Linked DNA regions of Saccharomyces cerevisiae S288C. Changing the gene in region 1 together with any one later gene gives a genetic interaction. Each region holds a gene or a part of one and is shown in the gene's direction. Other genes may lie near its edges. The genes, in order: FIG1 and CCH1.

Region 1 (3,704 bases):
TATTTTGACATTTCTCTCTTAGACTTTTTATATATAATATACATGTTTCAATACCAAATATAATGTAGCATAACATAATCTATCTTTTTACTCATAGACCTTTACTTTCCTCTCTAAAAGCCGTGTCGCAGTAACTGGTGACGCTAAAGTTCTCCGGCGTTTTTTTATGTATGAGCTGGGCATCAAGAGCTTTTGAGATTTTCCAAGTAGTAACTCATCTTTCTGAGTGTGCTATCAAATACATACTAAGGAGAATAAACTCTTGTTATTACGTATTCTTCATCCTTATGGGTAGAGAGCGCACTGTTTTAGTACATTTTCTAGACGTCGAAACGTAGAGCAATTGTCGATAAAACAAAAAAAAAGTAAGAAGATATATGAATAGGAGCTGTCGCTAGAACTAGTAAGTATATGATGGAGATATAATAAGTGAATTATTCGATATTTAATGAACGTTCTCATTTATTTGGAAGAAATGTTTATCACGTGATGGAGAACCAATGAGCGGCGAGTAACTACGCGAGGAACCCGGACCGCAATAACGATTAAAGAAGGCCCGGAAGGGAGATGCTTAAATGATTATCACTCAGTTAAAAAAGACAAATAAGAAACTATTGAGACTGAACCGTTTTGGTTAATTTCAGGTGGAAACAATTGAAGACGAGCAGTAAACATTATTTTATTTAGTAGTCATGTTGTCAAGAATTGTATCAAACAATGCAACACGCTCCGTAATGTGCCACCAAGCGCAAGTGGGTATTCTTTATAAGACTAACCCAGTGAGAACTTATGCTACTTTGAAAGAAGTGGAAATGCGTTTGAAATCTATCAAAAATATTGAGAAGATCACAAAAACTATGAAGATTGTTGCATCTACAAGATTGAGTAAAGCTGAAAAGGCTAAAATTTCCGCAAAGAAGATGGATGAAGCAGAGCAGTTGTTTTACAAGAACGCCGAAACCAAAAATTTGGATGTTGAGGCTACTGAAACAGGTGCTCCTAAAGAGTTGATTGTTGCTATCACCTCTGATAAGGGGTTGTGTGGTTCTATCCACTCTCAATTGGCTAAAGCTGTGAGAAGACATTTGAATGATCAACCAAACGCCGATATAGTCACTATTGGTGATAAAATTAAAATGCAGCTATTGAGAACCCATCCTAACAACATTAAATTGTCTATTAATGGAATTGGTAAAGATGCCCCAACTTTCCAAGAATCTGCTTTGATTGCCGATAAGTTATTGAGTGTCATGAAGGCCGGCACTTACCCAAAGATTTCCATTTTCTACAATGACCCAGTGTCTTCCCTATCTTTTGAACCATCTGAAAAACCGATCTTTAACGCCAAGACCATTGAACAATCCCCATCATTCGGCAAATTTGAGATCGACACGGACGCAAACGTTCCAAGAGATTTGTTTGAATATACTTTGGCTAACCAAATGTTGACAGCAATGGCTCAAGGTTATGCTGCTGAAATTTCCGCCAGAAGAAACGCTATGGATAACGCTTCCAAGAATGCCGGTGATATGATCAATCGTTACTCTATCTTGTACAACAGAACAAGACAAGCTGTCATTACTAATGAACTGGTTGATATTATTACTGGTGCTTCCTCTTTGGGATGATAAAAAAATCACCCTGCATTGCCTCTTTATTTGACGTTGTTTTTGTAGAACATGAAACGAATTTTGACTTGATGAGACGAAGTATATATCCAAAGAATACCTTAAATAGAAAAGGAAAGATAATAAATACTAAACACTACTATATATTCAGGTAAAATACAAAAATTATAACATTTTTAAAACTTTTTTTTTTTGAAAGTCCTTCTCGCTTTAGGATTTTTTCCCATTAAGATTATGATGGTTTCATGTATGTGTCAGTTAAAAAAAATATGGCTAAGTAGCAATGAAACGAACCAAGAAAATGAAAACAATATATAGTGCTGTTGAAATAACAAAGACATTGGTATATATTTGTAAAATGTCTGTTAAATGTTTTTTATCTCAGGTTCTTGCTTGTCTTTGGTAGAAGAAATTATAGTAAACAAACAAACAAACAAACAAAAAAAAAAAAAAAAAAATGGTCGCAATCTCAATGATTTGGTTTTTTACCAAGCGTATGCCCAGAATATTTGCATTAGCTTTTAATTTAATTTCAATATTTCTTTTGATTTTTCTTCTCATCGGCTGTTACAACCCGTCAAATCAGTCAACATTTCTAGTGAAGTATAAATTTGATGACAACTCACCTTTTTATACGATCATAGAGAAATCATATGAAAAATCAAATACAACTCTGGGCTTGGAGGAAGTCATTATAAGATCCGGTTACATGGGTGTTTGTATTGATAACATTCCCTCCCAATATAGCTCTTACAATAATATGACTACATTCTCCAATTCAATTTGCTATGCAAGAAAGAATTTAAGCTCGGTTCCCTTATACAGAGACTTGGAAATTCAACTCTCAAATATTGCATCTTCCAGCTCCAAAACCCAATCAAGCGTTGTCTTGAACATTTTGAAGTTAGCCCAATTAACTTCGGTTAATGTTATACATCCATATGTCTTGATGGCAACTGTAATCCTAACAATCCTAATGTTTCTATTTATTCTGTATGTAACTGTCCCTAAGTTACCATTCAAACTAGCGGTTAATAAATTTCTACTGTTGCTAAGTTCAACTATAGTTTTGACATGGGGTATTGGTGCGATGTGGACTCATGTAGGGATAAATGCAAGTTACAGATTGGTTCCATCATCAAGTATGAATATAATCACTGTCAAGAAGGGCAAGAAGGCAGCAGTAATGGCTTGGTTTAGCTTTGCATTCCTCCTTTTAGACAGTGTGGTTTTATGGTTAATATTTTTAAGGGATAGGAAAAGCTTGAAAGATGAAATTGATAATGTTCCATGTGCCCAAAATAGGTACAATAACTACTCTTCGGATTCATCTACATTGCATTCCAAAGTTTAGTTTTATCCTCAAATAAACATATAAGTTTTGAGCGGATATTTCAGAATGTCAATTTTTAAAAGTAAAAGGAGAAAAAATTTATATAATTCACGATTAACATTATATAATGTGATGAACTACTTAAAAAATTTAACGTTCGATAATTAAGTAACAACAGAGAAAATATGAGCTTACCTAAACTCTAATCATTACCGTCTGTTTTATTTACTGTCACCTTGATGAGCGACTAAAAAGATAGAACGCGGGTTTTTCGCGCAATGTAACAAAGCTCCAGAAATTTTTTATAAATACTAATGTTATAGCAAAAAAAATAAGGACCTTAAAGTCGTAAACTAAATTGAAAAGCCCAAATCATTCAAATTCTATATCGTTGAACTTTTAATAGGCTGCGAATACCGACTATGTCTCCCATACAGGTTGTTGTCTTTGCCTTGTCAAGGATTTTCCTGCTATTATTCAGACTTATCAAGCTAATTATAACCCCTATCCAGAAATCACTGGGTTATCTATTTGGTAATTATTTTGATGAATTAGACCGTAAATATAGATACAAGGAGGATTGGTATATTATTCCTTACTTTTTGAAAAGCGTGTTTTGTTATATCATTGATGTGAGAAGACATAGGTTTCAAAACTGGTACTTATTTATTAAACAGGTCCAACAAAATGGTGACCATTTAGCGATTAGTTACACCCGTCCCATGGCCGAAAAGGGAGAATTT
Region 2 (7,880 bases), on another chromosome or scaffold:
TGAAGTTCTAAGGTTGTATGCTTGTTAGAAACCGTGGTTTTGAGCTCAATTGAAATGCCACCGGGTAGACGTTTAGGATCTTTTAACCTAAGTAATAATGCGAACAATGGAAAATGGTTAATGAGTGCAATGACAGCTTCCGAGAATATTTCGATAGTTATTGTTAGCATTCTCAAAACTGTGTATGACATATAGAATGCCATCACTGTGGGAGTCAAGAACACTAGAATAATAAATAATAATGTTCCCAATAGCAATTGATCTAGTTGAAAATAGTTATGGTCAATCCTATTTCGTAAAACGTTCCTCTTTTTACCGCAGAACAGGTTAAAAAGACTAGCCATAATATTCAACTGACAATGGTACAGTTTACTGCTGATACGATAAAAAACATATATTGGAAAACTTAAAATTGCAAAAAAATCAATCGCTAGGGAAACAGCAAAAGAAAAGCCAACGAGAAACATCATATATATCGTTAACGTGAGCAAAGATGATAGGGTTTTCGGATCAATGAGTCTTTTTATGAATGTGGTATAAGAAAATTCTATCACCCAAAGAAATAATTCGCTCAAAAAGTTCGCAAGTTCTGCATTTAATTTGATGCCAAGGGGGTTATTTGCTAACGTTTCAGTTATTGTTTTTAATGAATCATATAAAAAAAACTTCAATACTCTATGGGATGCCGACACCAAGAAATCTCGATTCTCAATAAGTATGGCCCCCAATATTAAACCAAATGAAATGTCATTAATAATAAGCCAAATTGTATTATACAATAAAATATAATCGGGATAGAATTTAGAAGGCATATATGAATGTGAGAATTGACTATTAGAATTATCTTTTTCCACCATAGAGCCAACATTCTGTATGTTATCCTTCTTATTAATACGCTCATACTGTACTGGGAAATAGCAAATTTGTTGACAACGAAGATCGATTTGCTGGACAAATGCCGAGTAATTTACCAACTGAAAGTGCGAATAATTTAATAACGAGGATACGAGACTAGCAATAGAGCAGATCACAAAAGTCAAATAAAAACCAATTTTTGCGACCATTTTATAAATACAAGTAGATGAACACCAAGCTGCGACACTATTAAGCATAGTACCCCTCAAATTTTCCTGTGATGTTTGAATAAACGGGTAAAGCTCATTTAATGCTTTACAATATGCGGGGAATAGATTAATGATGTTCAAAGTTTCACTCAATTTCTTATTATCTCTCTTGTATCTTGGATGTTGCTCTAATTTAGAATAGTTCAGAGTTTCACCCACACTACTATGAAGACCAACTTCTTTTTCTGGTATGATGAGCGAGATGGGATCAGAAGAATAGAATTGCATAAATTTCAGCTTGGGTATTCTAAAATGGACATTACAGGGATCAGCAACTTTGTAGTTCCAACCCTCCGCTCCATTGTTCTTAGTAGCTACCACTGAATAAGGGGGCCGTATGCTTACTTCTTCTAAATACTGAGGTTCGCAAACACCTAAGACAACAAAATGCGTCTTCTCAAATGAAATTGCCAAAGCTACCTGAGGTCCTTGAGCTGCGGAATTCTCGAACAAGGATTCGTATGGCCAGAAAATGTAATTTGGCATGTCATTTAACTGTATAAAACCGCCCCTGAATTCGAAGGTTCCTGTTCACAGAGGAATTTTCATTCTTTTTGGTATTATGTTCTGGTAGGTTTTTTTCATATTCTACATTTCGGCATTCTCACTGAAAATAAATATAGATGAGATAGAAGATCATGAATCAATGGTTGGTGACAAGCTAACATAAGGAAAATCAAAATACACGGCATTACTAAATAGAATATATTGTTAGTACTATGCAGGGGAGAAAAAGGACGCTTACGGAACCATTTGAGCCAAATACCAATCCATTTGGGGACAATGCAGCAGTAATGACGGAAAATGTTGAGGATAACAGCGAAACAGATGGTAACCGTCTAGAATCAAAACCACAAGCTTTGGTCCCACCAGCTTTAAATATCGTGCCACCAGAGAGCAGCATCCACAGTACTGAAGAAAAAAAAGGTGACGAGTACAATGGAAATGATAAAGATAGCTCCTTAATCTCCAACATATTTCGTACTCGTGTCGGAAGGAGTAGTCATGAAAACTTGAGCAGGCCTAAACTCTCACTTAAAACAGCATCATTTGGTGCCGCTGAATCTTCCCGGCGTAATGTTTCACCCTCTACAAAATCTGCCAAGTCTAGTTCGCAGTATATTGATTTAAATGATGAAAGGCTACGCAGGCGTAGCTTCAGTAGTTATAGCCGATCATCTAGTAGGCGTGTTTCTAATTCACCAAGCTCAACGGATAGGCCTCCACGGTCGGCAAAGGTTTTATCGCTAATTGCCGCTGATGATATGGATGATTTTGAAGATTTGCAAAAGGGATTTAAAAGTGCAATAGACGAAGAGGGCCTGACATGGCTACCCCAATTAAAATCAGAAAAAAGCCGTCCTGTATCAGACGTTGGAGAAGATAGAGGAGAAGGAGAACAAGAATCTATACCTGACGTTCATACACCCAATGTAGGAGCAAGCGCTACTCCAGGATCAATTCATCTAACACCCGAACCCGCGCAGAATGGTTCGGTATCTGAGGGTCTAGAAGGCTCTATTAATAATTCAAGAAAGAAACCCAGTCCAAAGTTTTTTCATCATTTATCACCGCAAAAAGAAGATAAAGACCAAACAGAAGTTATTGAGTATGCTGAAGACATTCTAGATTTTGAAACCCTTCAAAGAAAACTGGAATCAAGGCCCTTTGTGCTTTATGGACATTCTCTTGGGGTTTTCTCGCCTACGAATCCGCTAAGAATAAAAATTGCTCGTTTTTTGTTGCATAGGCGGTATTCGTTACTTTACAACACTTTGTTAACATTTTATGCCATTCTCCTGGCGATAAGGACATATAACCCTCACAATGTGGTTTTTTTATACCGTTTCTCTAACTGGACCGACTATTTCATTTTTATTTTATCAGCTTGCTTTACAGGCAATGATATTGCTAAAATAATTGCGTTTGGATTTTGGGACGATTCTGAAATGTTTAAAGCCTATGGACGTGAGTATAAATCAATCTTACAGAGATCTGGAATTATGAAACTATACATATATCTGAGAGAAAAGTATGGTAGAAAGCTAATAGATTTCATTATTCCATTTAGGATCATATCGCCGGGAGAAGAGACAAAATATCAACGAAGTTCGTTGAGTACTTCCCTGACGAAACCTTATGGGGCAAAGGAAAATCAGAGGCCTTTTGGCACCCCAAGAGCCTTTGCGAGATCATCGTGGAATAGAATAGATCTGGTATCTTCTGTCAGTTTTTGGCTAGGTATGTTTTTATCCATAAAAAGTTATGATACAAAAACAGGCATAAGAATATTCAAGCCCCTTGCTATATTAAGGATTCTTCGACTTGTAAACGTGGATACTGGTATGCCCTCAATTCTAAGGGGATTGAAATATGGTATCCCACAGTTGGTAAATGTTAGTTCAATGCTAGTTTACTTTTGGATTTTCTTTGGGATTTTGGGAGTACAGATTTTTCAGGGCTCTTTTCGAAGACAATGTGTATGGTTTAACCCTGAAGATCCTACCGATACTTACCAGTACGATATGCAATTCTGTGGTGGTTACCTAGATCCAGTAACAAAACGAAAACAAAATTATATCTATGAAGACGGATCAGAAGGTTCTGTTTCAAAAGGCTTTCTTTGCCCACAATATTCGAAATGTGTTTCCAATGCCAACCCCTACAACGGCAGAATTAGTTTTGATAATATTGTTAATTCCATGGAGCTCGTTTTTGTCATTATGAGTGCGAATACTTTTACTGACTTAATGTACTATACGATGGATTCGGATGAAATGGCTGCCTGTTTGTTTTTTATTGTTTGCATCTTTGTTTTAACTATCTGGCTGCTAAATCTACTCATTGCAGTGTTGGTATCATCTTTTGAAATAGCCAATGAGGAGTACAAAAAGAAAAAGTTCATATATGGTTCTAGAAAGACAGGTTATGTTGCTCGCATAGTAACAGGCTACTGGAAATATTTTAAGCTTAAGGCGAATCAGACAAAATTCCCAAATTGGTCCCAAAAAGGACTAGCTATTTATTCCCACGTTGAGTTTATCTTTGTCATACTTATTATTTGCGATATAGGTATGCGCGCCTCTGTTAAAGTATCGACTTCGGCAAACTGTAACAATATCCTTCTAAAAACTGACAGGGGAATTTCGATTGTTCTCTTCATCGAATCACTGGCAAGGTTAGTATTATATCTGCCCAATATGTGGAAGTTTTTAACAAAACCTAGTTACGTTTACGATTTTATTATATCAATTATTACTCTGGTTATTAGTTGCCTGGCTGTTGAAGGGGTTCTAGGACATATGTATGCCTGGCTATCCATATTCCACATATCCAGATTTTACAGGGTGATTATTTCTTTCAATTTAACAAAAAAACTATGGAAACAAATATTGAGTAATGGTGTTATGATTTGGAACTTATCGTCTTTTTACTTTTTTTTCACCTTTTTGGTTGCTATAATCATGGCTGTGTATTTCGAAGGCGTGATTCCTCCAGAAGAAATGGCAGACCAGCCATTTGGAATGTATTCACTACCGAATTCATTTCTTTCTTTGTTTATAATAGGTTCAACTGAAAATTGGACGGATATCCTATATGCCCTCCAAAAACACTCACCAAACATCTCCTCAACTTTTTTTTGCTCAGTATTTTTTATTATATGGTTTCTACTATCCAACTCAGTGATCTTGAACATTTTCATTGCCCTAATATCAGAAAGCATGGAAGTGAAAGAAGAAGAAAAACGACCACAGCAAATTAAGCATTATCTTAAGTTCGTCTATCCTCAGAAAATACAAGAATATACACACGCTAGTTTGGTTGCGAGAATTCGTAAAAAATTCTTTGGAGGTCATAGGAACGAAGATACAAGAGATTTTAAGCAATTTCTTATGAGAGGAACCGCGATAATGAACATAGCGCAGAATATGGGGGAGTTGGCCGATGAATTCAAAGAGCCACCTTCAGAAAACCTATTTAAAAAGGGCTTATCAAAGCTCACAATTGGGGTTCCGTCACTAAAAAGGCTGAGAATGTTTGCTAATAATCCATTTTATAAAAATAGTGACGTTGTGTTTACAGAAACGAACGATATAAATGGGAGGACGTATATCTTGGAGTTGAATGAGTACGAGGATGAGAAGCTAGATTATTTAAAAAAGTACCCTTTATTCAATTACTCATATTATTTCTTTTCTCCTCAGCATAGATTTCGAAGGTTCTGTCAACGCTTGGTACCACCAAGCACTGGAAAAAGGACTGATGGATCACGATTTTTCGAGGATAGCACTGATCTATACAATAAAAGGAGCTATTTTCATCATATTGAAAGAGATGTATTTGTATTCATTTTCGCACTTGCCACCATTTTACTAATTGTTTGCTCATGTTATGTTACGCCTCTATATCGTATGCATCACAAGATGGGAACTTGGAATTGGTCCTCGGCGTTAGATTGCGCCTTCATTGGTGCCTTCTCAATTGAATTTATCGTGAAAACAGTAGCTGACGGATTTATATATTCTCCAAATGCTTACCTGAGGAATCCATGGAACTTTATTGATTTTTGTGTCCTAATCTCAATGTGGATTAATTTAATTGCATACCTAAAAAACAATGGAAATTTGTCTAGGATTTTCAAGGGATTGACAGCCCTGAGGGCCCTCAGATGCCTCACGATCAGTAACACAGCTCGTCAAACATTTAACCTAGTTATGTTTGATGGTTTAAATAAAATTTTTGAAGCTGGGTTGATTTCACTCAGTTTGCTATTTCCATTTACAGTTTGGGGCTTAAGCATTTTTAAAGGCCGTTTAGGTACTTGCAATGACGGAAGTTTGGGCCGTGCAGATTGTTACAATGAATATTCAAATTCCGTTTTTCAATGGGATATCATGTCTCCAAGGGTTTACCAGCAACCATATCTTCATTTGGACTCTTTCGCAAGCGCTTTTAGTTCATTATACCAAATCATTTCTTTGGAAGGATGGGTTGATTTGTTGGAAAATATGATGAATAGTTCAGGAATAGGTACACCCGCTACGGTAATGGGTTCAGCAGGGAATGCTTTATTCCTCGTTCTGTTTAATTTTTTAAGTATGGTTTTCATCCTGAACTTGTTTGTTTCATTCATTGTTAACAACCAAGCAAGGACAACAGGAAGCGCTTACTTTACCATTGAGGAAAAGGCGTGGCTGGAATCCCAGAAACTTTTATCTCAGGCCAAGCCAAAAGCTATCCCAAATTTAATTGAGTTATCAAGAGTTAGGCAATTTTTCTATCAACTTGCAGTGGAGAAAAAAAATTTCTACTACGCATCGTTTCTTCAGGTAGTACTTTATTTGCACATAATCATGCTCCTGAGTCGAAGCTACAATCCAGGAAACTTGATAGGTTATCAAGGTGTTTATTTTATGTTTTCCACTAGTGTTTTTTTAATTCAAGAGGCACTTCACATGTGCGGTGAAGGACCAAGATTATATTTTAGGCAAAAATGGAACAGCATACGACTCAGTATCATAATTATAGCCTTTATTATGAACGCTGTAGCATTCCACGTTCCAGCCTCTCACTATTGGTTCCACAATATAAAGGGGTTTTTCCTGTTAGTGATATTTTTGTTTATTATTCCTCAAAATGACACACTAACTGAACTATTAGAAACCGCAATGGCAAGCTTACCGCCTATTCTATCATTGACCTACACTTGGGGGGTTTTATTTTTAGTATATGCTATTGCTTTGAATCAAATCTTCGGCCTAACAAGGTTAGGGAGTAATACGACCGATAACATAAATTTTAGAACTGTAATCAAATCCATGATTGTTCTGTTTAGATGTAGTTTTGGTGAGGGCTGGAATTATATCATGGCCGACCTAACTGTGTCAGAACCTTATTGCTCCTCTGATGATAATTCAACCTATACGGACTGTGGATCAGAGACATATGCCTATTTGTTATTAATGTCGTGGAATATTATTTCCATGTATATTTTTGTGAATATGTTTGTTTCGTTGATTATTGGTAATTTCAGTTATGTTTACCGTAGCGGTGGATCTCGCTCTGGCATCAACAGATCGGAGATAAAAAAATACATTGAAGCTTGGTCCAAATTTGATACTGATGGAACTGGCGAGCTTGAGCTGTCCTACCTCCCAAGAATAATGCATTCATTTGACGGTCCTCTTTCATTTAAAATTTGGGAAGGTAGATTGACAATAAAAAGTCTAGTCGAGAACTACATGGAGGTTAACCCAGATGATCCATATGACGTCAAAATAGACCTGATCGGACTGAACAAAGAGCTGAATACGATTGATAAAGCAAAGATCATACAGAGGAAGTTACAGTACAGAAGATTTGTACAAAGCATTCACTATACGAATGCTTATAATGGATGTATCAGATTCTCGGATTTGTTATTACAAATACCTCTCTATACAGCTTATTCTGCAAGGGAATGTCTAGGTATTGATCAATATGTCCATCATCTATATATCCTGGGTAAAGTGGACAAGTACTTAGAAAATCAAAGAAACTTCGATGTATTGGAGATGGTGGTAACAAGATGGAAATTTCATTGCAGGATGAAACGTACCATTGAACCCGAATGGGATGTTAAAGATCCCACAGTATCGTCTCACATTTCGAATATAAACGTAAATCTGGAACCTGCTCCAGGAATTTTAGAAAGAGAACCTATTGCGACACCTAGAATGGACTACGGTGTTAACAATTTTATGTGGTCTCCGAGAA

The links.
Region 2: mutations in FIG1 (region 1) and CCH1 impair growth when combined (synthetic growth defect), as found in Saccharomyces cerevisiae (2 studies listed by BioGRID, with this or other methods).

The regions. Positions count from the first base shown.
Region 1 is NC_001134.8:314,883-318,586, forward strand, and holds FIG1 (Fig1p), read left to right. Parts: upstream 1-2,085; coding exon 2,086-2,982; downstream 2,983-3,704. Other genes in the region: ATP3 (F1F0 ATP synthase subunit gamma), read left to right, coding at 693-1,628; long-chain fatty acid transporter FAT1, read left to right, coding at 3,384-3,704. UniProt on the Saccharomyces cerevisiae protein: Required for efficient mating.
Region 2 is NC_001139.9:922,853-930,732, forward strand, and holds the start of CCH1 (calcium channel protein CCH1), read left to right. Parts: upstream 1-1,843; coding exon 1,844-7,880. Other genes in the region: GPI1 (phosphatidylinositol N-acetylglucosaminyltransferase), read right to left, coding at 1-1,610. UniProt on the Saccharomyces cerevisiae protein: Voltage-gated, high-affinity calcium channel that functions together with MID1 to mediate calcium entry into cells. Required during conditions of environmental stress.